Lepisosteus oculatus: one gene and its partners. The protein of the gene in region 1 purifies or fractionates together with the protein of each later gene. This does not show direct contact. Links are inferred from orthologs where the notes say so. Each region holds a gene or a part of one and is shown in the gene's direction. Other genes may lie near its edges.

Evidence for each region.
Region 2: the proteins of anapc4 (region 1) and nek2 purify together in Homo sapiens (affinity purification with mass spectrometry; 6 studies listed by BioGRID and IntAct, with this or other methods). This does not show direct contact. The link is inferred for Lepisosteus oculatus from reciprocal best matches to the Homo sapiens genes ANAPC4 and NEK2.
Region 3: the proteins of anapc4 (region 1) and anapc1 purify together in Homo sapiens (co-purification; 13 studies listed by BioGRID and IntAct, with this or other methods). This does not show direct contact. The link is inferred for Lepisosteus oculatus from reciprocal best matches to the Homo sapiens genes ANAPC4 and ANAPC1.
Region 4: the proteins of anapc4 (region 1) and anapc15 purify together in Homo sapiens (affinity purification with mass spectrometry; 10 studies listed by BioGRID and IntAct, with this or other methods). This does not show direct contact. The link is inferred for Lepisosteus oculatus from reciprocal best matches to the Homo sapiens genes ANAPC4 and ANAPC15.

Annotation. Positions count from the first base shown.
Region 1 is NC_090696.1:77,826,175-77,833,228, forward strand, and holds the start of anapc4 (anaphase-promoting complex subunit 4), read left to right. Parts: upstream 1-4,042; 5' UTR 4,043-4,176; coding exon 4,177-4,177; exon of another isoform or gene 4,178-4,181; intron 4,182-5,147; coding exon 5,148-5,263; intron 5,264-5,920; coding exon 5,921-6,026; intron 6,027-6,537; coding exon 6,538-6,670; intron 6,671-6,989; coding exon 6,990-7,054. Other genes in the region: srd5a3 (polyprenal reductase), read right to left, coding at 36-295, 1,081-1,212, 1,652-1,843, 2,716-2,867, 3,370-3,569. UniProt on the Homo sapiens protein: Component of the anaphase promoting complex/cyclosome (APC/C), a cell cycle-regulated E3 ubiquitin ligase that controls progression through mitosis and the G1 phase of the cell cycle.
Region 2 is NC_090697.1:46,236,964-46,244,441, forward strand, and holds the start of nek2 (serine/threonine-protein kinase Nek2), read left to right. Parts: upstream 1-4,466; 5' UTR 4,467-4,714; coding exon 4,715-4,810; intron 4,811-4,821; exon of another isoform or gene 4,822-5,089; coding exon 5,090-5,307; intron 5,308-7,035; coding exon 7,036-7,276; intron 7,277-7,478. UniProt on the Homo sapiens protein: Protein kinase which is involved in the control of centrosome separation and bipolar spindle formation in mitotic cells and chromatin condensation in meiotic cells.
Region 3 is NC_090712.1:2,594,021-2,601,158, forward strand, and holds the start of anapc1 (anaphase-promoting complex subunit 1), read left to right. Parts: upstream 1-4,120; 5' UTR 4,121-4,357; intron 4,358-5,266; 5' UTR 5,267-5,290; coding exon 5,291-5,503; intron 5,504-6,109; coding exon 6,110-6,271; intron 6,272-6,541; coding exon 6,542-6,584; intron 6,585-6,945; coding exon 6,946-7,046; intron 7,047-7,138. UniProt on the Homo sapiens protein: Component of the anaphase promoting complex/cyclosome (APC/C), a cell cycle-regulated E3 ubiquitin ligase that controls progression through mitosis and the G1 phase of the cell cycle.
Region 4 is NC_090700.1:12,717,189-12,725,042, forward strand, and holds the start of anapc15 (anaphase-promoting complex subunit 15), read left to right. Parts: upstream 1-4,837; 5' UTR 4,838-5,238; intron 5,239-5,929; 5' UTR 5,930-5,930; coding exon 5,931-6,050; intron 6,051-6,533; coding exon 6,534-6,593; intron 6,594-7,456; coding exon 7,457-7,594; intron 7,595-7,854. Other genes in the region: folr (folate receptor), read right to left, coding at 1-122, 1,308-1,321. UniProt on the Homo sapiens protein: Component of the anaphase promoting complex/cyclosome (APC/C), a cell cycle-regulated E3 ubiquitin ligase that controls progression through mitosis and the G1 phase of the cell cycle.

The DNA of each region.
Region 1 (7,054 bases):
TTCCAAGCGGTACTTTCATACACTGCAGCTGAAATCTATAAGACCAAAGGAATGAAGGCTTTGCGGTGTTTTGGATAGGAGTCAAACTTGGCCAGATAGAACTGGTGGCACAGCACAGCCTCCAGCGCCTGGCAGCTGAGCACGTACAGGACCACCAGCCACCAGGTGGGGGCGCCGCCGCCGAGGGCCACGCAGTAGGAGACGTAGATGAGCAGCTCAGCGAAGTAGTGTGGGCAGGAGACGAGCCGGAACCAGTCGCCGTGAGGGACGCAGTGAGCCAGCGTGAGCACCTCCCCTGCCGCAGCCGGAGAGAGACAGCGCGTCGGGGTTAATGATCCGCATCGGGGGTGTGAGCACAAGGCCCAGCGCGACTGACGTCAGCAAGTTTAACAACCGCCTTAAAACTTGTAGGGGAAACTTACAGCAAAACAAACAATAGACATGAACGGAGCCAAACAGAAGTTCAGAACGTACGAGGTCACTGTATTATATTTTCACTCAGCAAAATGGATGATTATTGGACAGACGCTGTATGTACACCTACCACCAAAGTGTGTTTCTGTACGGTCAAGGATGAGGGCCCGGCCATCCATTCAGCCATTTTTTTTATAACCTCTTTCTCCAATACAGGGTGATGGGTGAGCCAGACCTTCCCCAGCAAGCAATGAGCACACCCCGGCCTAAAGAAGTGCCGGTCTAGGTGCTCCTGCATCAGACAAGCACCGTTCCATTGGTTTCAGATCTTCAGTTCCCCTTTTATGAACTGATTCAGGCGCTGGGCTCTAAGCCACATTTTCTTTTGGAGCAGGAAGTTGGGAAGCTTTAAGGCTGTGAAGAACAAATTGTTCATGGGATTGCGCCAGCTTTTCATATCTATCCTTGTCAAGCTAGGAAACGGGGAGTGTAGTCAAAACACTTGGACAACAATCTGAAAAAAAAAATGCGACTTGAAGAAGGATCAAGTGAGATTCTCGGCAGTGTGAATTACAAAGGTGCAGTTTGCCAAATAATTCCCCAGTCAAACCCGAGTGACCTGTCATGAGTGTAGCAACACCTGTGAGACCCCCGTGTAGCTCTCACCTGAGCGACCCTTCCTCAGGTTAGCGAGGATCACGTGACACCTGTGCTGGTGCACAGAGGCCCAGACAAACAAGCCCACCCCCGCAAAGTGGTTCCACCGCACCTGTGCCAGCACTCCACCTTTAACACTACCTGCCAAAACAATAAACAGCTGTTTTTAAATGCCAGAACTTTTTTCTCTTGAAATGTATAACTCTACCATGCTTTTATTTACAACTGGAAAGTTAACAAAGTATACTGCAAAGTATGCATTATGTCAGATTTTGCTTTGTTTCCTTTTTGATACTTGTGTCCTGATGATAGGTAACGAAATATTATTCCATCCTAGGTTGGTATTAGAAAATCCATGTTATTCTCTGACATTGGAGAAACAATCATTCACTGTTGCCTGCATTCAACATGACTGAGGAAAACCATGCAGACCAGTAAAATACACTGCACTTGTGAGGAAGAGGTGTTGTACACAAGGCACAACAGAAACACACAGCTGTAGGAGTTAAATACATATTAAAGACATTCAAAATCAGCAGTAACAGTATTTAATAATTACATGTTCTCAGGCCAGACTGACCTTCGTGTTCAGTGTGAATGTTGGTACAAAGCACTGTTAATCCAAGTAAAATGTAGTAACCAAGCCCAAATCCATACTGCGCTAAGTGTATGACTCCATTGGAGAACACACTGACAAACAAACACTCCAGGAGCCTTCGGAGGGAGTGAGCACACAAGAGCACCTGCACCAGGAGGAGAGAGAACTGCTCACCTGTGAATGGAGAACAAACAGGTGCACTGTAACAAAGCATTGAGATGTTTAACGAGGTTAAATATGAGCCTTTGGCTTCAATCGGACAAACATCCATAAAAATCGCCCAGCAGACAGAAATAAGGTGTTCTCTCTGGAGTGGCTACTGTTACCCTGAGCTCTCCAGGCCTCATAATTTACCCTGTCTGCATGCAGTTGTAATCTACCTTGTGAGAAAATAAAGTGCTAAAAACTAATAAGCTTGTTCTGGCACAGCTAGGTGAACAGCAAATCAATGCAATGGACGTCAGCGCATCACGATTTCCAACTAACTGGTAGAGAGATGGACAGATCCTCACACACTGGGGGTTCCCACCCTGGATCTGGGGAACCTACCCCTGCTAGTTGTCCTTTTAGTTGAGCAGTCAGTCACATAGCCAGATTCCTAAAGGGCCTAATAACAGGCGTGCTGTGAACATTTTAACTGTAGTTCCTCAACATGTTGGTGGCTGCCTTTAAACTGTCGCATTTCTTCTGATATAAATATGAAATAAAGCTGATCGTAATTAACAGCATAATAATTATTATTGCTGTTGGTATTATAAATGTTTGGCATTATTTAATAAGTCCAACATTTGCATTACAAAAGCTCAAATTGAAGTAATTGTTGGCTTCTAATTTAAGTAAAGAGCTGGGCTGGGATATGTTAGTGTTGATCCTTCAATGTTCTTTAGGTTAAGTATCCAGTGCAAGGCTACTTGATCATTTAGCAGAGAACCACCTGCCACTGCCCTTGACGATTCAGGAAACGTGTGTTCTTGTCTTGTGTTACACCTCCCAGCAGAGCAGCAGTGGCCTCATTCCTGCTTTTGATACAGCATGTGGGAACTTACCTGTCCCAGGTGTGGCTGTACCTCCATTGAGGAAACTCAGGGTGCTCTCTAACCAGCCTGGAAACTGCTTACCCAGCAGGGTCTTTTGTAAGCAAATAGTGAGTAATAAGGAATTCCAAATCACAGACACAGCGTAAAAATGGAAAAACCATCTGCAAAACACCCCCCAAACAACAATATTAACAATCTGACACGGTAAATAATAGTAATAATATATACAACAGTTAATATGCAGAATTATAAAGACTGTGTCATTGTCTTAAAGATGGAAACCAAGATAGTCCTGTTCGTATCACACGTGTTCGAGTTACAATACAGTGCAGTTACTTGGTGACTAATACACGCGTTGTATGAAGTAATAAGTTACATACAGCATGCCATTTATTATCCTCGAGAAAATGTAATAAAATATTATTTTCAGAACATCGTGTTTTCCATAAGGCAATTCTAACGTCAATCTAAATTTAATATCAACATAATCCGGCCGTTTCTAATCAGCTTCTGTTTTGAACGCACAGTTGAAACTTTACACACGATGTCTTTTCATTCATCATATGAACATCTTTCTCTAAGGGGGGAACAGCAGTCCACAGCTCTGATTAAAGTTTAATATGATTTATAATTTAAGCCCCGGCAGGGTAAGATGTCTCTGACCTTTTAGGAACATCAAAGTATCGCAGTAGGTCTGACCGCTGTAGGGTGGTCTTGGTTTTTCCGTACCGAATAAAATCCTGGAATAAAACATAAACCCAGGAGCCACCGTATTTATCAGACGAGTGAGCACAAACGTGAATACAAAAAGCAAAGAAAAAACAGAGAGACAGAAGTAACCATATACAATCAATAGGATTCATCCTAAACCACTGAAACCAAAGTTTCTTAGTGTCCGCGGGGGAAACAATTCCGACGTGCAATGCGTGTCTGTGCAGTAGGGGTTCCGCACCGCAAGGGTAAATACTTTTCAACACTTCTATAGCCCTCTGCTGGAGTCTCCACTCAAAGCGCTTCACGGGTAATGGGGATCCCCTCCACCACCACCGGTGTGCAGCCCCACCTGGATGATACGCCAGCAGCCAGGGTGCACCAGTACTCTCCTCACACACCAGCTCTCAGTGGGGAGAGCAGAGTGATGGAGCCAGTGCAGAGATGGGGATAATTAGGAGGCAAGGCCCAGGGATACAACCCCTACTTCTAATGGTATTTGTTTAAATCGGTCCCGTTAAACAATAATAATAAATCTCCAAAGTTCTGCCTGCCGGCTGAATAAGGCGTTTTGTCCCTTCTCGCTTGCCGTCCGCCCTGCGCTGGTGGCGATTGGTCGAGTACTGCTCGCTGGCCCCGCCTCCACTTGGTTGCAAATGGCGCCGCGCATGAACAGGCGCCGGAGGAGGATGTAGTGGGTTTGCCTGTTTCTTGGGAACTGGGCAAACGAGCTTTGTGCTTTGCTCGGGTAAAGAGAGAAGTAGGTATGTGCTGATGTTGTGTTCTATTTTGGAGGAGTTTGTCAAGTTTACTAGCAACCGCAGACTGCAATGCGTGTGCAGTGTTTTCCACAATCTCCAGTGTGCACTGCGAAGAGCGAGGTCATTTTGTGTTAAAATGAAAGCGGAAAAAAATAAAAATCCCAAATCGTATTTATTCTGAGAGATCATCATGCAGTGTTTCAGAAATGTATCGCTGTTAAATGTATCTCTCTTTTTTTTTTGTTCTAAAATTCAAGTGCTCACTACTTACAAGTCTTCTCAGGTTGGAAAATCGATGCCATAGCTGTATTTGAAGACTTACAAATACTGGAACTCCTCTGTCTAGACTAGAAATTCAGACTCATACCCCAGTATAGTGACATGGGAAACTGCTGCAGGAGGTGCTAGTCTTTGGATTAATCATAACTACCCAGTCGTTAAAGATCCCGTGACAATGTGAGAGTAGTCATGTTAACCCTGGTGCCCTAAATAAATTCCACTCCAGTCTTGAAAATTCCATGTTCCCTCAATTCCCCTTTTGATGTGATTGGTGCCGCGGTTTCTCACTCCTCCACCTGTGTGCTCCCTCGAACATGTGAAGCCCTTCAGGATGGGGAGCGCTGTGGGAGTGCAGGGAGTGACACAATAACATTATTGCTATTAAATACTTCTCAAGCTGTGGGAGCTGAGCTCTTTAACCTGCTCACAGGCCCCTGGGAGAAGCGTCTGTGTGTGTTTGTGTGACGGAATGGCGTCCCGTCCCGTGCCCATTACTGGTGGGAGCGTCTCCGGCTCCCCTGTGGCCCTGAATTGGGAGAAACGGTTGGGAAATTGATGGAAGCCGAGTCCAGTGGTCTCCTCCACTGTAAGCACACAGGAAGTGCTTCCTGCTTGTCGCTGTTTCCTGGTCCTCCTGGAAGCCCTTCTCATGTGCTGATCTTTTTCCCGGTTTGTCTGTTTTTTTGTCAGTGCCGAAGATGCCTGCGTTCCGACAAGTGGGGGAGAAGCAGCTGCCGAATGCCGTCCTTTTCATGGTCTGGTCCCCGAAGAGGGACCTGATCGCCCTCGCCAACCGAGCGGGCGAGGTAACAGCCCCAGGGCTTCGGGGCAGCTGGCCGCAGCCGGAGGGGCGCCGGTTACACGCCTGGCAGTCCTTGTGCTGAACTGGCGGATCAGAAGCTGATGCTCCGTGTCTCATGCATGCCTGTGCTGAGAATAAATTCGCTGTTCTGAGTGGCGGGTTTTCCCCGAGCGCGGCTGTCTGTCTGTCCACTGGCCCTGGAGAACATTTCTGTGTTTGAAAGTTAAATCGCCCCCAATGAATTAAAAAAAAAATAACACTCCTAAGAATAGTTCACGGCTCAAAAAAACAGCAGATTTCTGCTTTTGAGATGGTCACCCAGTAAATCGTCTGATCGTCTGTGGCTTTGTCTGCCCTCTGACTGGCATCGAAGCCTCCCTTTGTGTGCGTCTTGCGTCACGGCTGGGGAAGAAGCCTGTCTCTGTCTACTGCGATAGAGGCAGTCCTGCAGCAGACTGTAACTGTTGGGTTGCTGGTTGTAAATGAAGCTGTGTGTAAATTAAGATTTGAGGGTACAGGACAGAAAACAACAACTGGGGAATTCTAATCTCATAAAAGATGACGCGAGGAGTGTAGCTCTCGCTACGTGTATCAGCGACATTTACAAACCTCATTAATTTGTCTTAATTGGTTTCAATGTATTTTTTAATTTATTTTTAAGCTCCTATTACACCGCCTGGCGAACTTTCAGCGGGTGTGGAGTTTACCTCCCAATGAAAACACCGGCAAGAAAATCACGTCGCTCGCATGGAGACCGGATGGCAAAAGTAAGGGCAGGGAGACTTTTTAACAGGAGGGGGTCTGCTGCAGTGTCTGAAGAGCCCCAGCACAGCCTGGAGCCCCAGTTACTTTCTCCTGGGGACTTTATGCCATCTAGATAACATCTACAGCATCTAAGAAAAGTATATTTTACATTATTTGTCATCAAGAAATCGACATGACTTGGATTTCTTTTATTCCCTTTGCCCGTGCACTTCTTCATCAGTTGAGATGAAATTATAGCTTCTGTTGAGGGCATCTGTGTGATATGCATCCAGAAGGGTGGTTGATTATTCAAATTTGCAAAAAGAGCTCTAAAAATGTAGAAAACGATATTGCAATCGGGAGTGTGAAATAGCTAAAATGCAAGAACGTGATTGTGAAATAGACTAATCCAAAACCTGTTGTGCACTTTAATACTAGGAATAATCGCCTGTACTCAGAAGGATGTGGAGTACTTTAAGTGTGGCCTATCTCTTGTAATGCAGTTCATGTTCTCTGTTTTTTTTCCTTCGTTAGTTTTGGCTTTCAGTGTTGGGGATACTAAACAGGTGATTCTTTGCGATGTGGAAAAAGCAGAAATTCTGCACTCTTTCCCTGTGGAGCAGCCAGTGTCGTGTATGCACTGGATGGATGTTTCGGAGGACAACAGGTGTGTTTCCGTTATTGTCACAGGTGGAAAAAAAAATCTGAATTAGAAGAAATGGTCACTATGCGAATTTGCCTAGTCCACACCATTATTTTTTACATCAGATGCGGGCTAGACAGTGCTCACATTAAAAGATTCCTTCATGCTATTAGGCTGGTGTGCAGGTTACCCAGCTGCTTTCTTGCATTGGTAGTGACAAGTAACGTAACTTTTGTGAACATGGAGGTGGAGGTGACCCACGAACGGCCAAAAAGTTTAAATTGAAATGTACGAGCACCTGCTTTGTGGATATGGTAGAATAGCAGATCGCTTTTTATTGCAGTGTTTTCTCATCGTTTTATAATGAAGATGAATCGGATCTTTTCCTGCCAAAGTTACCAGCTCTTC
Region 2 (7,478 bases), on another chromosome or scaffold:
AGGCAACGTCATAGACACCATTAGCTGAGCAGATCCATAGGGAATCTTCATTTGATGTCAAGTCAGCAAGCCAACTGTCACATAGAGAAATATTTACCAAACATTAAAAAAAATTAAAAAATAGTGCAAGATTTCAAGTCTCGAAGAATGGAGATCTCCAGCATTGCTGTATAGTCAATTTTCATAATATGTTTGTTCTGCCACCTTGTGGTTACAGAAAGAAAGAAAAATCATGAAAATGAAGTCAAATAAAAGGGTCAAGTTGACATAATATTGTATTGTGTGACAGCAAATAAACAACTGTGTGGCCTTTTGTCATTATTTTTTGGTATTTCTTGGTTTCATAAAAAATTGGAACTTCTGCTTCAGAGGTGTCCAAGTACAACACAGATTTCGTGTCTTGAAGCATGTGAGTGAATTACTAAACAATGAAGACAGAAAGTTTTTTTTTCAAGCATATGTTTTAGAAACAACTTACACCAATGAACGTATAATGAGATTTAATACCCACTAAACAGTACAAATCATTTTTTAGCAGCATGGTGCTATAGCAGTACTATATAGACATGGTTGGATCTCAGGTTTGAGTCTGGCCTGGGTGGCTTCTGTGTAGTGTTTGTATGGTTTATTCCTGACTACATTTATTTTTTGACCAAAGGCTCTTATTTTCTCTCACTATCCAAAGAATTAACCTAGACATCAACCTGTCAAGGTTAATTGGCATGTCTAGACTGACCAGTCTGTGCGTCATGCCATAGACTATCTGTGGCCTGTGGTGTTTTATGCCTTGTGCTGCTGGGTTTGGCTCGAGATCCACACAGCTCTGTTTTGCGGTGGCCATGTGGGACCATTACCTTTGCTGACTTTAGTCGAGGCAACCTCTTAAATTGCCAGTACTAACTGACAACATTAATTGATCTGCTTGCTTCTTTAAGTTCCAAAAACCCCTGAATCACAGAAACTGGTATAAGGGTGATAATTAAAAGTCCCAATCACCTTTTAAGGATCTGAGAGAAGTTTTAAAAATACTGCCCGAAAATCCAGCTGAAAACCATCAGCTTGTAATTAAGAACTCTGCTAGAATAACAAACAGCACTTTCTCAAGGCTCAGGTTTGGGAATGACTTCTGTATTCGATGAAGAGCTCATTGTGAGTGGATGGATATATACATTTACAGTGGAACTCTGAGATCATCTCACTCACTTTCCACTTTTTGAATTCCTGTTTAAGCAGCCATGGGCAAAAACCATAGTTCAAGTAGATAGCTGCATCAGCATGCGTAGGCTGCAAAGGAACAAGTAAAGGTTTATTCCAGGCTGAAAAGAGAAGAAAAGAAACACAACATTTTTGCTCTGGAGCCTTCTTCACGTCACCCACAGTTGCTTTGATTATTTGCAAAGAAAAGGTGTTTAACTCGAAAAGATCTGACTGAGCTGGGAGACTGCAAGGTTAAGTCTGTCCCGTTTTAGTGCACCTTACACCCCATGTTAAAAAAAAAGTAAAAAGGAGTCTGGGCTTCAAAATGAACTCCCTTACTGTAATTGTCAATCCTACACAATTCACATTCACAATTCCCAGTTGATCCTTTATGTTATTTACTATTACTGTTAATGCCCCAGCTAAAGTTGTGATAACAATGTTAGCAATGCGTTTTCCTGGTTTTACAATCAAAACTGAGTTTTCAAAGATTGGGAGAGGCAGAGGTGTGGCATATAAAAAAAGAAAACTTTTATCTACAGTCTGCAAAGATATTTGAGATTGTGCTGCACTACACACATCTTTTTTAACACAGGTATGAAGGCAGCCTCTTGTTTGGGGGGTTTCTTTCATTCATATGGGTATTCAGGGCTTTCATGTGCAGATCTGCAGACATGTAGCCTATGCCTAGAAGGGAAAATGAGGCACCATCACATTCATTTTGAGTGTTGTTAGACACACCTATAACTACTGTATGTGAATAAGAGGACTCACCTCTGAAGGATGAACCAATCAGCCTGTTTGGTGTATAAGACGCCCCTCCTAGCTGTCTTGCATTAACAGTGATTTTTACCATTTGTTTCCTGAAACTGATTAAAAGTGGCTACAGTTAACAACAGCAATGTATTTTCATTGGACCAATTTTGATGAAGCCTTGGTCATTAATTTATAAGGAATGATATGCAAGAAAATCACAGCAAAGCAAAGAAAGCAAAAAAAAACATTTTTTTATTTACTTGAAATTAAAAATGAAAACACATTTTTTGCTGAAATGTTGATAATACAAAAGTGTCTCCATTTTAGAACATAAAAGGTTTGGTTTGGCTCATCTAGCCTCTATGTAGTGTGTTTGGTAAGTATGTTCTTTATTTTCTTCTTAGTATATCTAAGATTCTTACTTCAGAGTAAACAATGATGATGTGCATTCTTGAGATAAAATTAAGAGAGGGAAATTATTTCTTTTTCAGTTCAGAACTATCTTAGAATTCCAGTCCATTGTTCATGCAAATTACTCCCAAACAGATTATGCAAAACAATCTCTAATATGAGTCTATTAATACACTAGATTATAATTATCCACCACAGCTAGGGAATGCAATATGACTTTGTTACAGTAGGTGTCAAAATAATTGTTGAGGAAATTATTCTATTAATACAAATACAGTATTACAATAAAACATCTATTTCCATCATGAAAAAAAGATTTATGGTGAGGGGTTATGTGCAAATACCTGTACTAACATGCCAGTGAAAAGGTGATGTTGGAAATTGATGAATATTGCCATTAATATACTTCACAATTTAAAAAAATAAAACATTTACTAATCTGTTCATAGACACCCACATATTTAAATAACATTCATAAATATTTGTATTCAAAACAGCTTTAAAAGGTTAATTCACAAATGAAGATGCTGTAGGGATTAAAGGTATTGTATACTCAGATTGAGAATGGGTTAACAAACAGGAAAGAGGACATCATTGCAAAGAACATAACTTCTGAAAGCTGTGGCCTGCTGTGCTAGACTGCTTAGCCAGAACTGTATCAATGATTGACATTGTGATGTCATCACCTAAATCATTTCTAAGTGAAATTTTAAAATTATACAAAATAGTGGGGAATAGCAGACACAGAAACAGAACCAAGGGAATTAAAAAGAAACTTGCACACAACCATTTGATTAATGTTGATATTTGTAAAGTGATCTATACAGGAAGTAAGGAACATATTCTACGGTATATATCACATGGGTGATTCTAAGCTACAGGCACCTATGCAAGAAAGATGTCTGGGTTTAATATCCTTCATGTCTTCATCTTGACAATGTGGGGAAGCAATAAAAAAGGAAACAGAATGCTTAGGAATATGGCACGTTTAAATCATGGAAAGTCGTGCTTCAGATTTTACAGCACACTAGTAAGATCTTGTTTAGAACATTGTTTCCAGTTTTGGCAACCATATCACAATAAGGACATCACGACAATAAGATTGATTCTTGGCCTGAAATGTCTGTCGTATACAGACAGGTTGAAGGAGATCACAAAAAAGCTACAGAACAAATGTTCTCATCGCTATAGAATAAAAGGGATTAAAAGAAGATTTTAGAAGAGTATTTTAAATCCTCAAGTAGTATAAATAGATTTTCAGCATGGAATAAAACTGTTTTTTTATATTTATTATTTTTTGTTAAAAAGAGGCAGCCTGGGGAACTATTTCTCACTCATCAATGACACAAATACACAAGTTTGCAATTTGGAAAGTAAAAGTGAACTTCGGATAGACAGTAAAGCACATTTACACAAAGAGTTGCGAGTGTCTGGAACAGGCTTCCACCCAGATAGTTGAAGCCTTTTAAATTTTTGATTAACTTTGTTTGCACACTCCCATATAAGCATGATTGCACTAATGCTTTTCACTCGCAACATGTGTAATATTATAATGAATAATAATTCAGTTTACTAGCGCTGCATAAACAAATAACAAATCATATAACTTCACGTACCAAAATACAAACCATTAATTTAAAATGACTATAAATAATTTCAGGATTCTAAAATATTTCAATCACAGACGTAATGCTAATATACTCAGTATTATTTCAAGATAGTTGCATAATGAGCAGCTCAAACTACAACTAGGACAATAGTCTCCTGAAGTTCTTTTAAATTTGTGAACCGATTAATCGTAGCTTATCTTTTCATTGACCTTTTCCAGAATAAAGAAACGCTACACTTAATTTTAGCCAAAAGGCAGAGAAGCGTAACATAAACAATAGTTAATACAAAGACCAGAAATGTTGAAGTACTGTATTATGTTCGGCATAAACTAAAATCTTTTACTTTAAAGATCCCTTTAAATACCCGCTGTTCTCTCGCGGGCTTCTGTTGCATAGCAACGCCTGGTGCAGTGTGGGTTTGTATTGATTTTCTGACCAATAAGATTTTCGCTCCTCCGTGCGGAAAGCCAATCACATCTGAGAAACGAAACCACGCCAATTTTAAAGCTTGAACTTCCTACTCTCCTAGGTGATCGCGTTATTTTGTTTGTCAATAACGAAAGGATAAATGTGAATGTTCTTTTTTTTTTAAAGAAAGTTGTCAAAGAAGGCTGCTAAAACAAATATTTGGCAGTCACCTATCAGTATTTCTTTGAAAGGGGGATTTCCGCTGTTTGAAGAGATTGTCCTTGCAAAAATCTGGATTTAACATTTACTTTCTGTTTTAAGTTCGTTTAAAGATGCCGTCTCGCGTAGAAGATTATGAAGTTTTATACACAATTGGATCTGGATCTTATGGAAAATGTCAGAAAATAAGACGAAAGACAGATGGAAAGGTATACATTACTTCACTGTGTTGTTTGGTTGCATTACATGACCGACTTCATACTCGTTCTTTTGAAATGAAGGATAATGCAAAATACGAACGCTATCTTGGAACGTCTTTTTAAAATACATTAACAATATGCATTTTTGTTCCTCGTCACGCTTTTATGATGTTGTGTGTGATGCAATCATTGTGCATAGAGAAGCGCTTTCATTTTAAGATGACGTTACCGTGCAGTTAAAACATGTATCGTCAGTATTTGTAGTACTTTTATCTGCTGCGCTCCCAGGTACTTGTGTGGAAGGAGCTGGACTATGGCACCATGACTGAAGCCGAAAAGCAGATGCTGGTGTCCGAAGTGAATCTCCTCCGTGAGCTCAAGCACCCCAATATCGTTCGGTACTACGACCGCATCATCGACAGGAGCAACACCACGCTGTATATCGTCATGGAGTACTGTGAGGGGGGGGATCTGTCCAGTCTCATCACCAGGTGTATTAAAGAAAGGTGCGTACGTACACTGTATGAGTGTACCTCCCTTGATTCTCTTTTCTTGGGTGCCTGCCAGTTACCGGTGTTTAAGTAATACTCCGACTTCTAGACTCGAATTACTGGGGAGTATTCGGAAGTAAATGAAATTAAAAGCAGTCCGTCTCTTTAGCCACAAGTTAAGATATTAAGATTTTTTTTTTGCAGAGTCCAGCAATGCTAGGAAGAAGGCAAACGTCAGTGACGGTTATATTCACTCATGGCTGGATCACAATGCAAGGGAGAAATAAGTCATGCAAACAAAAAGCAAACGCTAACAATGCCAAACGGGTCTAATGCCCTGGTCATACATCATACATAGCCTTCCCATTATTTCCTTGGGGTAGGGAACTGCATAATTACTGTACGGCCCCTTTAATTGGTCCAGGCTTAAACAACTAAGAGGTCTCTGGAGCTACACCATTACTGAATAAAACATATGCCTGAGACTTTGCCAAACTAGCCTCTAAACATCTCACTTATTTTCTTTCAGGTTAGTTTGCTTTTATATTCATGGCATGGTAGTGTAGATAAACAAGCATTTGATTTCTCGACACCTTTAATGCCATTTGTTCCTAAGATGGAGTAGGCCATTTGGCCCATCAAGCCCACTTGGTAGCTAGTTATTGATTGCTCTGAGGATCTCATCCAGTTATTTCATGACTGAAGCTAGAGTGTATTTTAACAACTTGGTGGGATAGCCTGTTCCATACTCCCACAGCCTTCTATGTAGAGTAGCTTTTGTTCTTGGAATGAAATGCAGGACGTTTCCAGTTGTGATCTCTTGTTCACTTGACCCCCTATCTTACTTTTGTCTTTTTGACCACTTAGCCCGTTTAGGAGCTGGTCGGTAATTGATCCGGCCGCTTCTTGAAAGAAACCAGGGAATCGACTTCAAAAATGTGGCTGTGGAGCTTGTTGCACACTCCCACACCCTTTTGTTCTTGGCTTTAAATAGTTTCAACAACAAGTTTCCACTTGTCCTCTGGTTTGTGTTTCTGAAGGACTCTGCTGTGTTGATTTTCTCAGTGCCTTTGAGGATTTTGAATTCTTGACCCCCCTGATTAGTCATCTTTGTTCAAGACCAGAAAAGGTTCACCTCGTTTAGCCTGTCAATGAAGGATATAACCTTAAACCGGGACTGCATCAAATTGCTCTTCTCTGGACTGGTTCAGGAGCCGCTTTGCCATGTGCCTTGAATCTGCCAGGTGTTTTTCCCAGTCTGTTCATGCTTTCCTGGCTTTTGTTCTGGTTTTGAATAGATGTGTGGCTGTAATTCAGACTGCTCTTGTTCTGTTCTTTGAGCTATCTAATTTGAATCCTGAGTATTACCGTTGTGCATGAGTTTATTAGTACTCTATAAAATATTCTACACAATTCATTAATAAAGCATTTTGGATGTAACCGTTTTCTAATCATTATTAAGTAGGTAAAACAGATTTGCCATCACTTTGAAGCTGGTGGTGCTGGCTCTGAAAGCTGTTTGAAGACCCGACCTAAATGTCCTTTATGATGCTTTTCTTCTATTGCTGGACATGGGTGTAATAATGGATCTGTTTTCATAAAAGCTGTGGTGTATATGGCTGCTGGCTAGATCTTTTCCACTCTTAGCCAGCTATAGGTAGCCCTTATACTTTGAAGACCAGCATTGCATGAGAGGGTTTTCCATCGAATAAAACTGAGTGCTCCATGTTCCTTCCCTCGCAGGCGATACCTGGATGAGGAGTTCATCTTGCGGGTGCTCACCCAGCTGGCTCTGGCGCTGAAAGAGTGCCACAGAAGAAGTGATGGGGGCCACACGGTGCTACACCGGGACCTCAAGCCAGCCAACATCTTCCTTGATGCTAAGCAGAATGTCAAGCTGGGAGATTTTGGTTTGGCCAGAATATTAAATCATGATACCAGCTTTGCCAAAACCTTCGTGGGAACTCCCTATTACATGTCTCCAGTAAGTTAAAATCTTCTCTTCTAATCGGCCCGCTGGTTAATTATCAGGGATGTAAGAATTAAATATTAGATGGATCCACTCTGAAATAATTTTTTTTTTTTAAATCGGTGTATGGGTTTGTCAGCTTTTCCTGGTGATGTTCATGGCTAAAAAGAAATATCAGAATACAGCATATTTTTCTTAAAACTAAGATCGTTTATTT
Region 3 (7,138 bases), on another chromosome or scaffold:
GAAAGCATTTAGACATGGGCGATCACGTTCCAGGTTTTTTTTTTTATTTCAGATGACATTTTCTTGCCCTGTTGCCGTTTTCTTCTCGGCCTCTTGTTGGGTTTGGCTACGATTATCTGACAGAGGCATTTATTATTGGGCTTCCTATAACCAGCTGGAAAGCCTTAACGCAAATGCTGCATGTTCCGTACGGCTTGGTGTAATTAATCGGCAAGAACTGTATATAGACTGTATACATGATTCCACCTCAATCTGTCATGTGCTTACCTCTTTCAGTTTTGAATGCGCTATTTTTTTCTATATCCTGAAACCTAATTAACAGATTTCGTGCAGCCGGGTAACAGTATCAAATCATTATTGTCGGTTAAGAACGGAGTCGCTGGCGTGATGAATATCATCTTATTTGACGTTAATGAGACATCTTAATTTTCACATGTCACTGATATTTTCCGTTGCTTTTGACTGACCATATTGGAAGAAGACTGTGCGCTGGGTTAACTAAACTTTAATTCACTTTGTGTCCTTCTCTAAAACCAACGTCTCAAGAGCGGAGGAGAGTGGCGGTCTGTGTGACTCTGGATTCAGAGAATCATTTTTCATGTCCGTTGCTAAAGGCCATCAGTAATGAAGTCAGATAAAGAAGAGAAGTTCTGAATTTCCAATCGACGACACAGCCCAGCAAAAAGGAAACGAGCATTTTATATAATATAACCAGTGCAAATTTAGAACTAGAACAATGTAGTCCTTTAACATACCGGTATGCTTGCTTTCACACTTAATTATTCTAGACCAAGGGATTATACATTAACGATGCGTGCAAAATGTAGAATTAGTGATAGCTTACCCCTCGCCTTCCGTTTCAGTATTTTGCATTTGCAAAATTTGTATGTACAACGGTACCTATTATTTTTTCTCGGAGGTATTCCATGTATGGCTCCTTCATCCAACGTTTCACAAAACGTGCGTAGTTTTTTTTACCTGATTTATCTTAACAACATACTTTCACCAGCGTGTAAAGAACCGTTCTGTTGATTCCTGGGACTTTTTCTTAAGGTTAGACTTCACAGAACTAACTCGCGTTAGTGCAAAAAACACTCCTCATTTTCCTTTCCAAACTGAGTCTACCACTTAAATTCCCTCAAGCATGTTTCGGCTATTTTTGAGCGAAAAACAAAATATTTCAGCATTTTACAATTAGCTTTGTGAGCCCCCTTGCTTGCAGCAAAATAAGAGAAAGTGTAAAACTTTAGTGTAGTGAAAACTAGAAACATTTTCGATTCCTCAAAGTCTTAATTTTTGAATAAATTGTAATGCTTTTAGATATTACATATTTACATATTTAGCACACAAATCTGTTCATTATTTGAACATGGGGGAGACATTTATTATTGTCATATCACTGTTAGGGTTGTAAATATTAAAAAGTGCTTCCAAACTTATTTCTTGTCTTTCCTGAAATGCACTTGATCTGACTGCCAAAATTTAAAAACAAGAGAACTATCGTCCTCAATCTATATGTTTGTTTTGGCTGACTTCAATTACGTTGGGCAGTGTAGCATAGTGGGTCTTTGGACCCCTGACTGCCAGGTTGTGGTATCGAGTCCTGGTGCTGGTGTACCTTGAATGAGGCACCGTACCCCAGTTGTTCCTGGCCACCCAGCTGTTCGGGGGAGACCAACATTGCTAAGGAGAGGTCCCTGCAGTGGACTGGTGTTTGTCACCTGCTCTCAGTCATCGATGAGCTCTGGGACCAATGAGCTGCTGTGTCTGAGGTTCAGACATCACAGCCCCTCTCCCCCACACCACCATGACATTAGCAAGGCTTGGCGGTGAGAGCAGGGAGGTTGCTGGTTTAGACTCTCAACCAGAGCTGTAGACGACCCATTATCAGATTTAATATGTGTCTGACTCACCACAGTTCATCCAACACGGTCGTGACAGTGATGACTTGTTTAATGAGCTCTGGAAAACAGGGACCAGATTTTCCCTCATGTCAGCAGTGTCAGAACCCTGCAGTGGTGGGACCTTTTGGTGAGTTAAAACAAACAGCGTGGGATAGGAAACACATAAATTGACTCATTACCTTTGTAATTCAGGATAATTATTTTCCTTAAACAGTGGTGGTATGGCATTACAAATACAGTTGCTATTAGTTGATACAGGCCAATATAAAACTTTTCACTCATGCTAATTTTAACAGTGTCTGCCATTCCTGACTGAAAGTTCTGGTTCTAACTGCAAGGCAATCCAGACCAGAACCAGTATTCTTCTTCCACCCTAATCATGGGGTCTTCCTCCAGCTTTCCGACCCTAAAGTGACATTCGCCTTCCTCCCTAGATGGCAGCAAGGAGCTGAGAAACACGTCAAATGTCAAGATGCTTTATTATTGCACATACGTCTTTTAATGAACACATTATTGCTCATTATTCCACATACGTCTTTTAAATGCAACGACATTTGGGTTGCTATAGAGTAAATTCTGCAATCTTTACACAGCAACTTGAAATTGTTCTCTTGTGATGAATATTCCAAGTCTACGTAGAGAGATTCAAAGGTAACAATTAGATGATTCATCTTTATTACAACATACAAACACAAAAATCTTAAACAAGGTACAAACACATTCTGTACAGGGGAGGGTGAAGATCCATTTGGTGTGCATAAATACCCCTTTTCTTTTTAAACGTTTCACGGCAATAAAACATGACAATATTCCACTTACTAAATTGTTCAAAACACATGTCTTTACAGATTGATTCTTTTTAAGGGTGACAAAGAACAGGAATGTTTAATCCTGGTCATGAAGGTCCATATTGATTTTTTGTTCCAACCAAGCTCTCAGTTACACAATTGATATCATAATGGCATTCATTTGAGCTATTTGACTGGTTTCAGACTGGTTCCAACATGATATGCTTCTGCATATCATGTTGGAACTGCTTTTTAACTATTCATATGTAGAATATGGATTCATATGAATCCATACTATTCATATGGATTTCATATGTAGCAGTACTAATTGATTGCATGAGTATAACACATGGCTATGGTCCAATCGAGCAATTTGTTAGTTCAACATAGTCTTCAGTTAAGTAATTAAGCTTGGCAGGGACCAGCAGGAGAGTGTGCCTTCAGGATAGGGCTTAAGACCTTCCCTCTCTCTCCCTCCTCTTTCAAGGACTGAAGCAGGGTTGTCCTCAATAGCACTGATGACTTTAAATTCTCATGTGCAACAGTGTGCTCATGTGGATTAGCTTGGCAATTCTATCCATCTAGCAACTGCATACTGCATGTGGTACGTTATATAATTACTTCATGCGTTTTAAGCTTGCATTCCGTCTTATCGAAAACAAGGTTTTCCATCTCTACTGTGTCAGTGCCTTGATTCATTGATACATAAACAAGTCTTGCAAGAAAATAATTATCTAGTCTATTGTTGGCAAAGAAATAAATATGGCCAATTAAAATTTGTATTAGGAAGCGATACAGTAATTACTACAAGTACAACAATGCAGATAAACTGTATTTGTACTACATGTATGTGCTTTTGAATCTAACAACCCTAATAATAAGTTTACCATGGCAATGTCTGCCAAAGTTGCTTTAGACAAAAACATGTGACACATTATTTAACTGAAAAGTGAGTGAATGCTGAGGATGTGAATAATACTGAGGCAAATAATAGTTCATATACTAAGGAACACTTTCCACTTCCGAACTAGCTGTAAGTTAAATCACTAGTTTATCACTGTATTTGCTCTGACAATCCTCACAGGACATTTATTGACCAGTAAGTTGCGCTTTGTTTAATTGGGAAGTCATTGTCGAGAAGGGATATTTCGAATGATGTTGATGCTTTCTCACGAGATCGATATCCCTTATTGCATGGTTTGTAAAGCTGTGGTGTTTTTGGATTCCACAGTTAAGCGGGTTTCTTATGAAAGTCTCTAGAAACGCCGCAAAACTATGAAATATTGCAAGCAAAGTCAAACATATATCATCTCCAATTACGCTTCTCAGACAGACAAACCCATCCCTGCATGAAATTACTTCCCTGTGTTGTCTACATACTGTAGGAGGAATATTCGGCTCGGCTGACGCCCGTCCGCGCTGTTGATTTTTCTGTGCCTTCTGATTGGTCAGAGCGATATGGCGGAGGCTCACGGGATATCAAGATGGCCGCGTCCATTTGAATCCCTGTGTTGTTATTCTTAGTTTTTTACGTCTGGTCTTTTTTCCCCACGGAATTCAGTGTTTGTTTTGTTTCAGTTTGTCAAAAACTGTCATCCTCTTATATTGAACGTAAATACATCAAGGGACTCCGAGATCCGGCGGTAGACGATTCGTTACTAACAGGTTTGTCCGTATCCCTTGTTTATTTCCTGGCACAGTTTAATAGCTATCCAACGTTCAGCTGTTTCCGAGAATGACGTTTTGCCCTCAACATTAAGGCAAAGTGCGTGCTTTTCTTGTTTTGCTTAAACTAGTCTTGCTTAATTAACACTGCTTAGATTGTGAATCTAGATGAAATGTTGACTAGTAACGTGCTACGACATGCCCACGTGTTCCCGTGTTCTAAAATATTGCTGCTGTCACTTATCCGTAGCCCTCGTTTATTATCTTTCTTCCACTATCTGGCTCCTAAAATATGTAGTCTGGGAAGTTGCTGGAATAGTAGGATGGAACAACACATGCATCCAGCCGCTGTTACTGCGGGTCACTTCTACATCACTGCGCTGACCATGTTGTTGTTGATATCATTGTTTATGCCTTTCACAATTTTGAGCAGTGCGCTATACTCAGAGTGCTTCACTCTTTTTTAATTAAGAAATCGGACAACAAACTCCTAGAAATCGCTCGTTTGCTTTAACCAAATGTAGAAAGCATTGATTGTTTTTCTGGAAAGCTCTTCCAAGATAGACATGACCTCAGTAAGTTCATCCCTACCCCAGGTTCTCTCTGACGGAAAGGAGGAGTTGCTTTTTCTTGTCAGCTGTTTAAAGTGCAGAGTGTTTTCTCACTTTGTAAAACCTAACTCTTAAACAGAACAGTATGGGCCACAAACATGAACAAACACCTACAAATAAAACGCTATAAGCAAATTACATCTTTTGTCAGATTATGTTGTTTTTGCTTTCTGCTCATTTTCCAGTTCCTGCAGCTTTTTTGGGGTAATTTTCTTTCAGATATGTTTTATATCCTGGGGGGTGGGGGAAACGGCTGGCTTTTATCCAGATCATGTTTACCTGTTGGCTTCCCCTGCAGAAATAATGCTGATATCTGGAACTCATGTCGAACGTCTATGAAGAGAGAGCCACAATGATAGCCGCAGGTGAATTGCAGGAGTTTGTTCCGTTCGGTCGCGAGCACTGTAAGAATCACCCCAACGCCGTGAACCTGCAGCTGCGACAGCTTCAGCCGGCCTCCGAGCTGTGGTGCTCCGATGGGGCAGCCGGGCTGGTGGGGTCTCTTCGGGAGGTAACGCTGCAGGAAAAGGAGAGGGTAATGTCTCGAATTTCCTTTTACTCGCCCCCTTTCGGATTTATTTCTGTCCTGCTGCATTTTGTGTGTTCTCTCATTTTCAACTCTTTTTTTTCCCCCACTCCCTGATTCTGTTCCCCACATTGCTTTGCTGGAAGTTTATTTCCAGGTATCCCCTGTCGATTTCAGGTGATGCATGTGGGTGTTTCTCTAACATTGTCGTGAAAAGCCATTTTGGTCAGGTTCTTACTTTTGGCTTGATAACGAGCATTTAATTGTGGCAGCTTGTGCTGCGTCATGGCATGTTAACTGTAACACTTGATTTATTCAGATGGATACAATATGCTTTATTGATAACATAAACATCCCAGGACAAAAGACTCTAATTGAGCTACATTATATCAATAATCAGTATCACTAATACTAGTAAGATGGTGTGGAGGAAGAGATGCCTGTTAAAATTAAACTTGCAAACTTTCATGGCTCAAATACAGCTGTGGTGGATTTAGTCAAAGTTTTCATCGTTATGGGTGTATTTTGTGAAATTGTTGGCGGTTCCTGGAATGCCAGTCATCATCATACCTGTGAAGAATGGGCTATGGATCATTCCCTTTCTGTTGTGCTCAGGAGAGCTGGCAGCTGAGGAAGGGAGCTGGTGGAGAGGTCCATGGGGTGGAGTTTGAAGAGGAGCTGTATGCGGCTGGGAACATGGTGATATGGAGCCGGGGGAGCAAGAATCAGGCTTCGTATGTATACAAGGCTTTCACCGTGGACAGTCCTGTCCTACAGGTACACATGACAAAGGAAATCCACTCCCTCCTATTGTTCTTAAGCCTCTACTTTACTCCCGTGGGTAAAGAAAATCAAATACATCATTCAGCCCCAGAATAGAGTTTTTCTCCTGTTTTTCGTGCAGTCTCATTAAGTCATTATTTTCAAACTGCTCTCGGTGATCCTTTTGTGACATGGCTAAAGCTCTTTGAACTGGTTATGAAAGTGTATTATGTTTGTGCTTATCGAGGTACATGGAATTTGAAATTGTTTAATGGTTTATTTCAGGCCTTGTGGTGTAATTTTGGTGTACCCGAGGAAGATAGAGAAGGTAATTTTGCTTTTTTTTTTCATTTATAGTTTAGACATTAAAACCCTGGGTCTTTACGTCGGTGTATCAGCTTTCATTGTGTTTGTTGGTTGTAAACATGCAGCACAGTATCAGGCTTCAGATATGACTGCGGATTAATATCCCAGATGAGCAGATGAAATCCTTTGTTTAATTATAAGGGTATGACATGTATGAAATATTAATCTGTGTCATCCAGGCATCTAGGCTTATGCAGCTCAGCCTATTGAAAAGGTTGCCTTTTGTGGCAGCCGAAAAGATTTGGTAGGTGCAATGAAGAATCGGACAAAATCGCACTCCTGGCCAAGAGACTAGATGATGCATAAATAAATTTTGCTTTCAGAACAAGAAGTCGTGGAGCAAACTGTTTGCGTTGTTCAGAGGACGTGTGTGAATGTTCACAGTATTACTGGGAAAGACTTCATCTCCCCTTTGCCCTTCCAGGTGAGTCACAGTTCTTTGGCAAAAGGATATCTGTTTTTTACATTTTTTATAGATTTCTTCTGATCTGTGCTTAGAGCAACAGGTGCATTTAT
Region 4 (7,854 bases), on another chromosome or scaffold:
AAAGTTTGCCCTCAGCTCCAGGAGTTTTTTTATGATGTTTGCCATCCATGCACTTGTTTAAAATATCCTCAGACACCGCCACAGAAACCAGGGCCAACAGCAAGGTCACACCCAGCATTTCTCTAAAGGAAAAAAAACTGATAAATTATGTTTGGAGGAAAAAGTTCTCCATGAAACTTAACTAAGATTTTCCTCCAGCTTCTCTCATTTATAATTTCAGGCAACAGAAAGTAACTCACACCCAGCTAAGCAAAGTGGGCTGATGCTGTCCAAAGTGACATCTATATCTTGGCATTTTTCTTAAGTGATATGAACAAGACAACAGCAGTACTTCACTCAGATTTTGAATCCATGACTTCTCTGCACTGCCGAATCTTAAAACACTTTTACTCCTGTACAAAAGCGACAGCACTTTCCTAACAGTGACAAAATTCCAATTGTTTTTTTCAAAACTACACTACAGATAAATGAAAGCAAGCATTTACAGTATGTGAATTTTGTTTCGTATTTTCACATTTTCCCATGTGAAATTCCTAATTTAAAACTTTCAGAATTAGAAAAAAAGGTTACAAATTAAATACTGGAACTCAAACATTGAAAATCACCCTGTAAATATTGTGATACCAGACTGCAGTATATCTGAGAAATATAGTTCTGGAATTCTTTGAGAATAATGTGAAATCTACAGTATAAGATAGCATACAGTACAATAAGATATTTACATTTAATTTCATAAACTAATACATGAACAAAATAATTTTAACACTTTGGCACAACACTCCTTATTTAGATTATGAATAATACATGGATGATTAGTTTAAACTCTCTTCACTTTTAAGTCTGGTTGGGAGGCTGGGACTTTTCAATGTAAGGCAATCAAGTATGCCATTAAAACTACTGTGATAAAGTTGCAGTGAGGTACCTTTAAGTCATGATCACAAGTTTCAAACGTATTTCCAAAAAATTAAATGTTTTATATATAGTTTTTATATGTAACATTTATGGAAACTTTACATATATGCTCAGAACAGTAACACTCTATTTCACGTTTTGCAGTCTGAATTTTGGCTTCTGAAATAATATAATTACCAAATAAAACCTAATAATTATCTCAAATACCATACTGTGCTGTTCTATATAAGCATTGAAATGCTACATATGGAATACATATGAAATATGAAAAGTACAAAACCCCATGAAGTCATAAGACAATAAAGACTAACTCTCTGTTTTCAGTCTACTTGGCCTGGTGAGAGTAAAGACTGACATGTTATTTAAAAAAATAAGGAAAATAAAATGATCAAGACCTTCTTAAGTACATCCTGGATTAAAACTGAACCGCCTTCGAAGCTTCACTCTCCTCTGATGTTCTGGATTAAATAAACTTTACACACCACGGACAATTTATATCTGTTCTCAGGCTATAGCTTAACTCAAATGGAAGGTTTCTGATTGGCTTCAGACAGTAGAGGACAGTCCCTAAACGGTGCAATAACAGAGAGAAAGTCTGTGTTCCTGATTTCCATTAGTACTATTTAGGAATGCGAAGATAACAGTTTATGATTACTTTGCACAATCACAGGACAAAGTCTGAGAATTTACTAGAAAAAGTATGCAAGGTCTCTTCTCCACAGAGTGAAAGTTTTACCTTGAAGCCGTGTGCTCACAATGAGATTCCAGGCTGCTTTCTCATTCAACAAAGTATTCTTCCACCTCCTTTGGCTAAAACAAAATAAAACTTGCCTTGAGAATAAGATTTTGATGAAACATCAGACTCGCTCTTGAAAACATTTTTTTGAAAAGCACAAGAACAAAGTATTTATTTTCACAAACAAGACATTTGAGATGAATAATGCAACGTTTTGTGAATGTAGAAAAATGTCAAAAAATTAATAAAAGAGAAATGAAACTCCTACAAATTTCTACTAACATTAATCACAAAAAGAGCGTTCCCCAGAAGTGAATGAACAACTGCTCCGTGAGTAAAACTCCCTCAACGTTTAATATTTTTATTAAAAAAAAGTTCTAACCTACAGTGGAAGGAGACATACAACAGAGGACTGAGTTTCTTAAACAAAAAACTTTAAACGTTGCAATGCATAAATCTAAAGGCAGCTGGTACTTTGGTTAATTATAAAAAAGGAATGGCCAATTACATAAACAAGACAGTGTGACCCAGGCAGGGCAATGGATTACTCATTAGTTGTAAGAAAAAGCTAAAAATAACTAAATGCAGCAATTAACTCAGTAACCATTCTGAAGTCGAAGAGTTTATATACAAGATTCATCCATTACATTTTCTGTATATTTTAATATATTACTTTTACTTGCGCTTATTTAATCTGTGTAGTTGACAAAATTATTTTTATTGTGTGCTCAAACCCTTCTTAAATTGTACTGTTGAATAAGGCTGCTTTTACAGCTGAAAAGAAGTTACCTCAGTCGAGAGACATCAGACTTTCTTCTGGTAAATGTAGAAGCGCAAATTTAGGGAAGCTGCTCAGGCTGTGCTATGGGTGTTCGTCAGCAGACAGAGAGAAGTGGTAAATCAGTGTGAAGTGAGAAGTGATTATCTCACCGCATAATTAAAAAAATGTGAGCAAATTATTTGGTGAGGGTATTAACTCGGATTTTAACGTATTGTAACATTGGAGTTGGAGTCTGCCTCTGTAATGTTTGTCTTCTGAAATAAAAACACAAGGATTTAAAATACTTGAACTGAAGGCCCAGGATTCTTAGGTCTACATGAAATGATTCAAGAGTTCTCTGCACCATTCTTATTTAATTGAAGTCTCACAGCTTATCTGTGCCTTGAGTAAATTAGTTGGCAATTTTGCTAATCTTCAATATTCCTGAAAGGGAAATCATGGCTTAAGGTGAACATAAAAACCTTTTTAAGGTGAATTTTGGTTTTGGTTTGTTCTCAACATTGCAGATCTCTTCTGGTGTGTAAATCCGTGTTATATGTATGATTCTTTTAATTTCTTGTTGCGGGAATTCTTCATCAGAGGAGCAAGACACAGTCTTGTGCAGATTCAGTTTTATTGAGCTCAATAAGTCCAACAACGCGCGCCGGGTCGGCCCCACAGAACAGACAAACTGCAAGGGTATCCCAGCTCTCATATACAGTCAGAAGAAAGTTTGTTTCACAATCTGAGTGCTTGTCCTGTTCTTTGATTTGTAATTACCTCTTGTTCTACTCTGTCTTGCTCTAGGTTCTGTCCTTTGATATGCAGCAGACATTGGTCTGCTTTGTCCTGTTTGTGGGTGTTGTTCCTGTCTTTTATTATGTAGCGTTAAGCCACTGGGGCTGCTAAAGCAAGTCAGCTTTATGGCATCTTAGTGTAACCTTTGTTTGAGGCTAAATTAACGGACCCCATCAACACCTCTCACAATGTGCTTAAGTGGTGATACTGTGATGCTGGATAATATATATACATGTCCCACTTCACACTAATTTAATTCCTTACACTTATATATCACTGTTCTGTACACTTCTATTAAACCACTGTTTGCATCAGTACACCCACCACACACCAGCTATCAGTGGGAAGGAGAACAAAGTAATGAAGCCAGTTCATAGATGGGGGTTATTAGGATTGGTAAAGGCTAGGGGGCGATTTGGCCAAGTGACCAAGGCTACAAAATCCTTGGGATTTTTAAATACCACTGAGAGTCAGTTCCTCAGTCTTACATCTCATCCAAAAGACAGTGCCTTTATACAAAATAGTATGGTGTCCCCATCATTATACTGGGGAACTAGGACCCACACAGACCACAGGGTGAGCACCTTCCAGGAGCAACCTTAGTTTTTCCCAGGAGGTCTCCGAAGCAGGTACTGACCAGGCTCACACCTGCTTAGCTTCAGTGGGTTGGCAGTTGTGAGCTGCAGGTGATATTTTTGGTGATATTTGGTGATATGCAGGTGTGTTACCCTGTGCTGGAATTGACTGAGTCACCATTGTTCAACAGAACGTGTTTTAAGTGTGTTATTCTTCATGTCCAATGCTCATTTCTGTTCATTGACTTTGCAAAATGTCCTGTGTTGAGTAAAGCTGAGATAAAAAAACAACAACTATTTTCTCTGGTAAACATTGCAAACCCACAGTCCTCTTCAGACTTTTCTCTACATTATTTCAATTTTTTGGTATAGCAGGGGGTGACAAGAAATACAACATGCAATTTCCCTGTATTTACTTCACATCTGTAGCTGTTTTCAAGTCAGAAGAGAGGAGACAGGCTTAAATTCTTCCCTTTGTCATTATGTTGACACACTCATCTTTTATCAAATGACTTTCATGTTACATTGCCATGAATGTGATAAATTTTTATGGTTCTCACAAGGACACTTTATGACATAAGTGTGAAATAAACTCCATATCAAAAAGAAATATCTGCTATAACAATTGCACTTAGCAAAAAAAGACGTGATGTCAGATTTAAGGGATATGCAGAGCGCAGCGCGATTTATACTTTGAAGCAGAAAAAAATACAGAAACAGTTCTCAGCTCTGCTTTGCAGTATCAAATAGTGTCACTGTGTATCTGCTTATAGGGCATTTTATCCGATAAAATTAGATCTGCCTTTTTATAAAAAATATGCCACACAGATTCTACTGGCTTCCAATTTTTAACACCTTCGGTCCTATAACATGTGGACCACTCAAGCCCTTAAATGCTTAGTCGGAATAGAGAGAGGCATCTGTTTTTTTTTAAAATAACAACAGTAGAGTAGCCAATCAGATTACAGTCCCGACAGGAAAACCCAATGGCTCTATCCTCTGAGTCACCATTACACTTCAGCTGTAACACCAGAAATATACAGCATAACACTGAGGACATGGCTTAACCAGAATTATAACATCTGACGGCAAACGTAGTCAATCAAATAGACTTATGAAGCATACGTCTACGTCGATTTGTATAGAACAGGGCTTTACAGTCGTTTTACTTGACTGCTGTAATTTAAGTAAACTTTTTATGAGCTGTGTTTTGCATTCATTTTACATTGAATTTGGTTATAAAAATGTTATTTCACAGTGTTGTGACAATGTGTCCATTAATCAACAAATCAACATTACGTGAAAGTAATTTATTTTTGGAGAACGCAGGCGTCACATGGAACTATTACGACAGTAGCTCGGAGAGAGAGGACGTTCATAACGTGAACACCTATTTCCGGTTCTCTTGTAGTTCTTGTTCGAATTTAAAAATCCTAACGTCTTGATTTGTTCCCGAGGTAAGGTTCTACATCTTAACAAAGAGTTAAAATAAACCGTTTTTGATGTCACCGATAAGGAAAGTGTAAAATTAATTACGGATGTTTGTTCTAAAACTAAGCCAATGTTTTTTAAAGAAAATGCTGGCGACAGTGCTGTATGGAAGTTTCCCAATTATTTTCCTATTTGATCCATCCACGAGAGTAATTACATCTGTGACTTAGCGTTGTTTCGAAATTGTGTAAATCATTTGGACGTTTAAAGAGCAATCTGAAAACGTTGTGATTCAGTTAAGATCACAGCCGTAAATGCATACCAAGGCCAAAGTAAAAATGCTTTGATATTCCAGAGTATTTTGTTGTATTTCTGGTGGTCCTTTCTGCATTTAAGACCAGCAGGTGATGTTCGTGTTGTTGAGGTTTTATGAAGATGGATCATACTAACTGACGATAGTAAAGATGTTTATCCACATAACTAATGACAGTAAACGCATTTAGAATTATGGTTTATGTTTATAAATGCTAGAACAGTACTGAATATGTCTTTGTCTTTCTAATTAAAGGATATACGTGTAATATTATTTTTAAAGAATATTTAAGGGCATCATCGCTAATTGTCCATTTAAAATAAACCCCACGATGAAGGTATCACGAAGGAGAACTAGTGTTTTCTTTCTTAATAGAGGATTTAAACTCTCACTGACTCCTGTAGGATGTCCACGCTGTTCCCTTCCCTTTTCCCCCGGATGACCGAGTCACTATGGTTTAACCTGGACCGACCTTGTGTGGATGAAAATGAGCTTCAACAACAAGAGCAGCAACACCAGACCTGGGTGTGTAGAGGACGACAGGAACAAACACAGCTTGATTTCCTCCCATCTTTTTCATTTTATTGTCGTGGCATGTCTTTTAACATCTTTTAAAACTTTTATAACAAATATAAAGTCACAACGTCGTACACTCTGGGGGGGGATGCATTATATATAACAAAAGACAAACACGGCAATAAAGTTAAGTTAACCTTTGGACAATTGCAAGGTTTTTGTACGCTTTTATTGTTAGTCAATTCTGTTGAATTGTTTGTTCCTACACCTGCATTGAATGTTATGAAAATGTTTCAACCTTTAACTGTATTATATTATCGTATTACGTTAGTTGCCATCCTCTCCAGCAAACAAGGTGATTTGCAAAATAATGTGTTATGGGTTTTATTTTCTAGGTGGGATGCATATGTTTTCTTTATTCGAGTTTAAGATTTTTGAGGTTTTTTTAAATATTTTGCTGTGTAATTCTAATTAAATTGTATCTTCCTGCAGTTGCAAAGCATTGCTGAAAAAGATAACAATCTGATGCCAATAGGGAAGCCTGTTTCTGAGGTAAGATGTATGTACCGCAATATACTTTGCTTGAAAATAAGATGTTTGAGTCAGTGTTTATGAGCTGCAGAGAAAATGTGGTTAATCACAAACTTAAAAGTAAAAAGAAGAAACTTAATATTTCAACTGTTGAGCTCTCTACAAGTCTAGATGTCATGAAGGGTCAGATGTTGAGCCAATCTGATCCTCATATTTAAGACCGGGGAACATGTTAGTGTTTCCACCTTAAAATGTTTTTGGAGTTGCATATAGGCATTTGAAAGTACCACTAAGGATAAACAACAGCAAAATACCTGTGATGGTTTTAGTATATAACAAGTAATTCTGAACTATAGTTGTGTTTTTGCTTGACTTTGTGAATCGGTTATTGGAATATGTTAACATCTCAAAAATCAAAGCTTCATTTTATGCTTTTATCTATCGCATGTATTTTGGCAGAAATTTAGAATTGTCTTATCCAATTTAAATAGCAGGTCATTTAATGACATTTTGAGATTAAATGCATGTGATTCTGATGCTGAAAACACTGTTGGTATAGGCCTGCTCTAATCAGTGATCATGTTGGAAGAATTGCAGTTGTTTATGAATATCGTTTTTAATTTGTCATATTAGGTCAGGATTAGTGAATTCTGTCACAATGATAATACAGTAGGCTGTGTCAAATAATGTACTTAACGAAGTCACTGCCATAAAAGCTGTACATCACAACAGTAGCCATATATTGTAGATCTGATAACTGGAATGAAAACAACCACGGGCAGCAGGAAAACAGATAAATATGCCACTGGAGGGTAATGGGTAGGAGGAACGGATTTAAGTATAGGCATGGCTTTATGACACTGTTGCATGGTTTCTTTCTGCAGACGTATGACGATGAGGATGAGGAGGATGATGAGGATGAGGAAGATAGTGAGGAGGACTCAGAAGACGATGAGGACATGCAGGACATAGATGAGATGAATGACTATAATGAGTCTCCCGATGACGGAGAGATCAATGAGGTGAGAGGCCTGGCTCGATGTACACACACCGGACCCAAGTATCCATACAATTCTCTGTGCCCTGGCTGGAAAATGCTGGGAGGGGGTCCTCATGGGAAAGCAATAAAGTTCTGCCTAGGCTATGCCAAAACTCCCCCCCCAAAAAAAAATGTTGTTTGAATCGTTTCAAAGGGTGCTGATCTCCTGCCAGTGTTGATGACCAGGGAGCTCCCTCTCAAACTGTTTTTTCTTAAATTTAGAAATGATAATTATATTTGTTC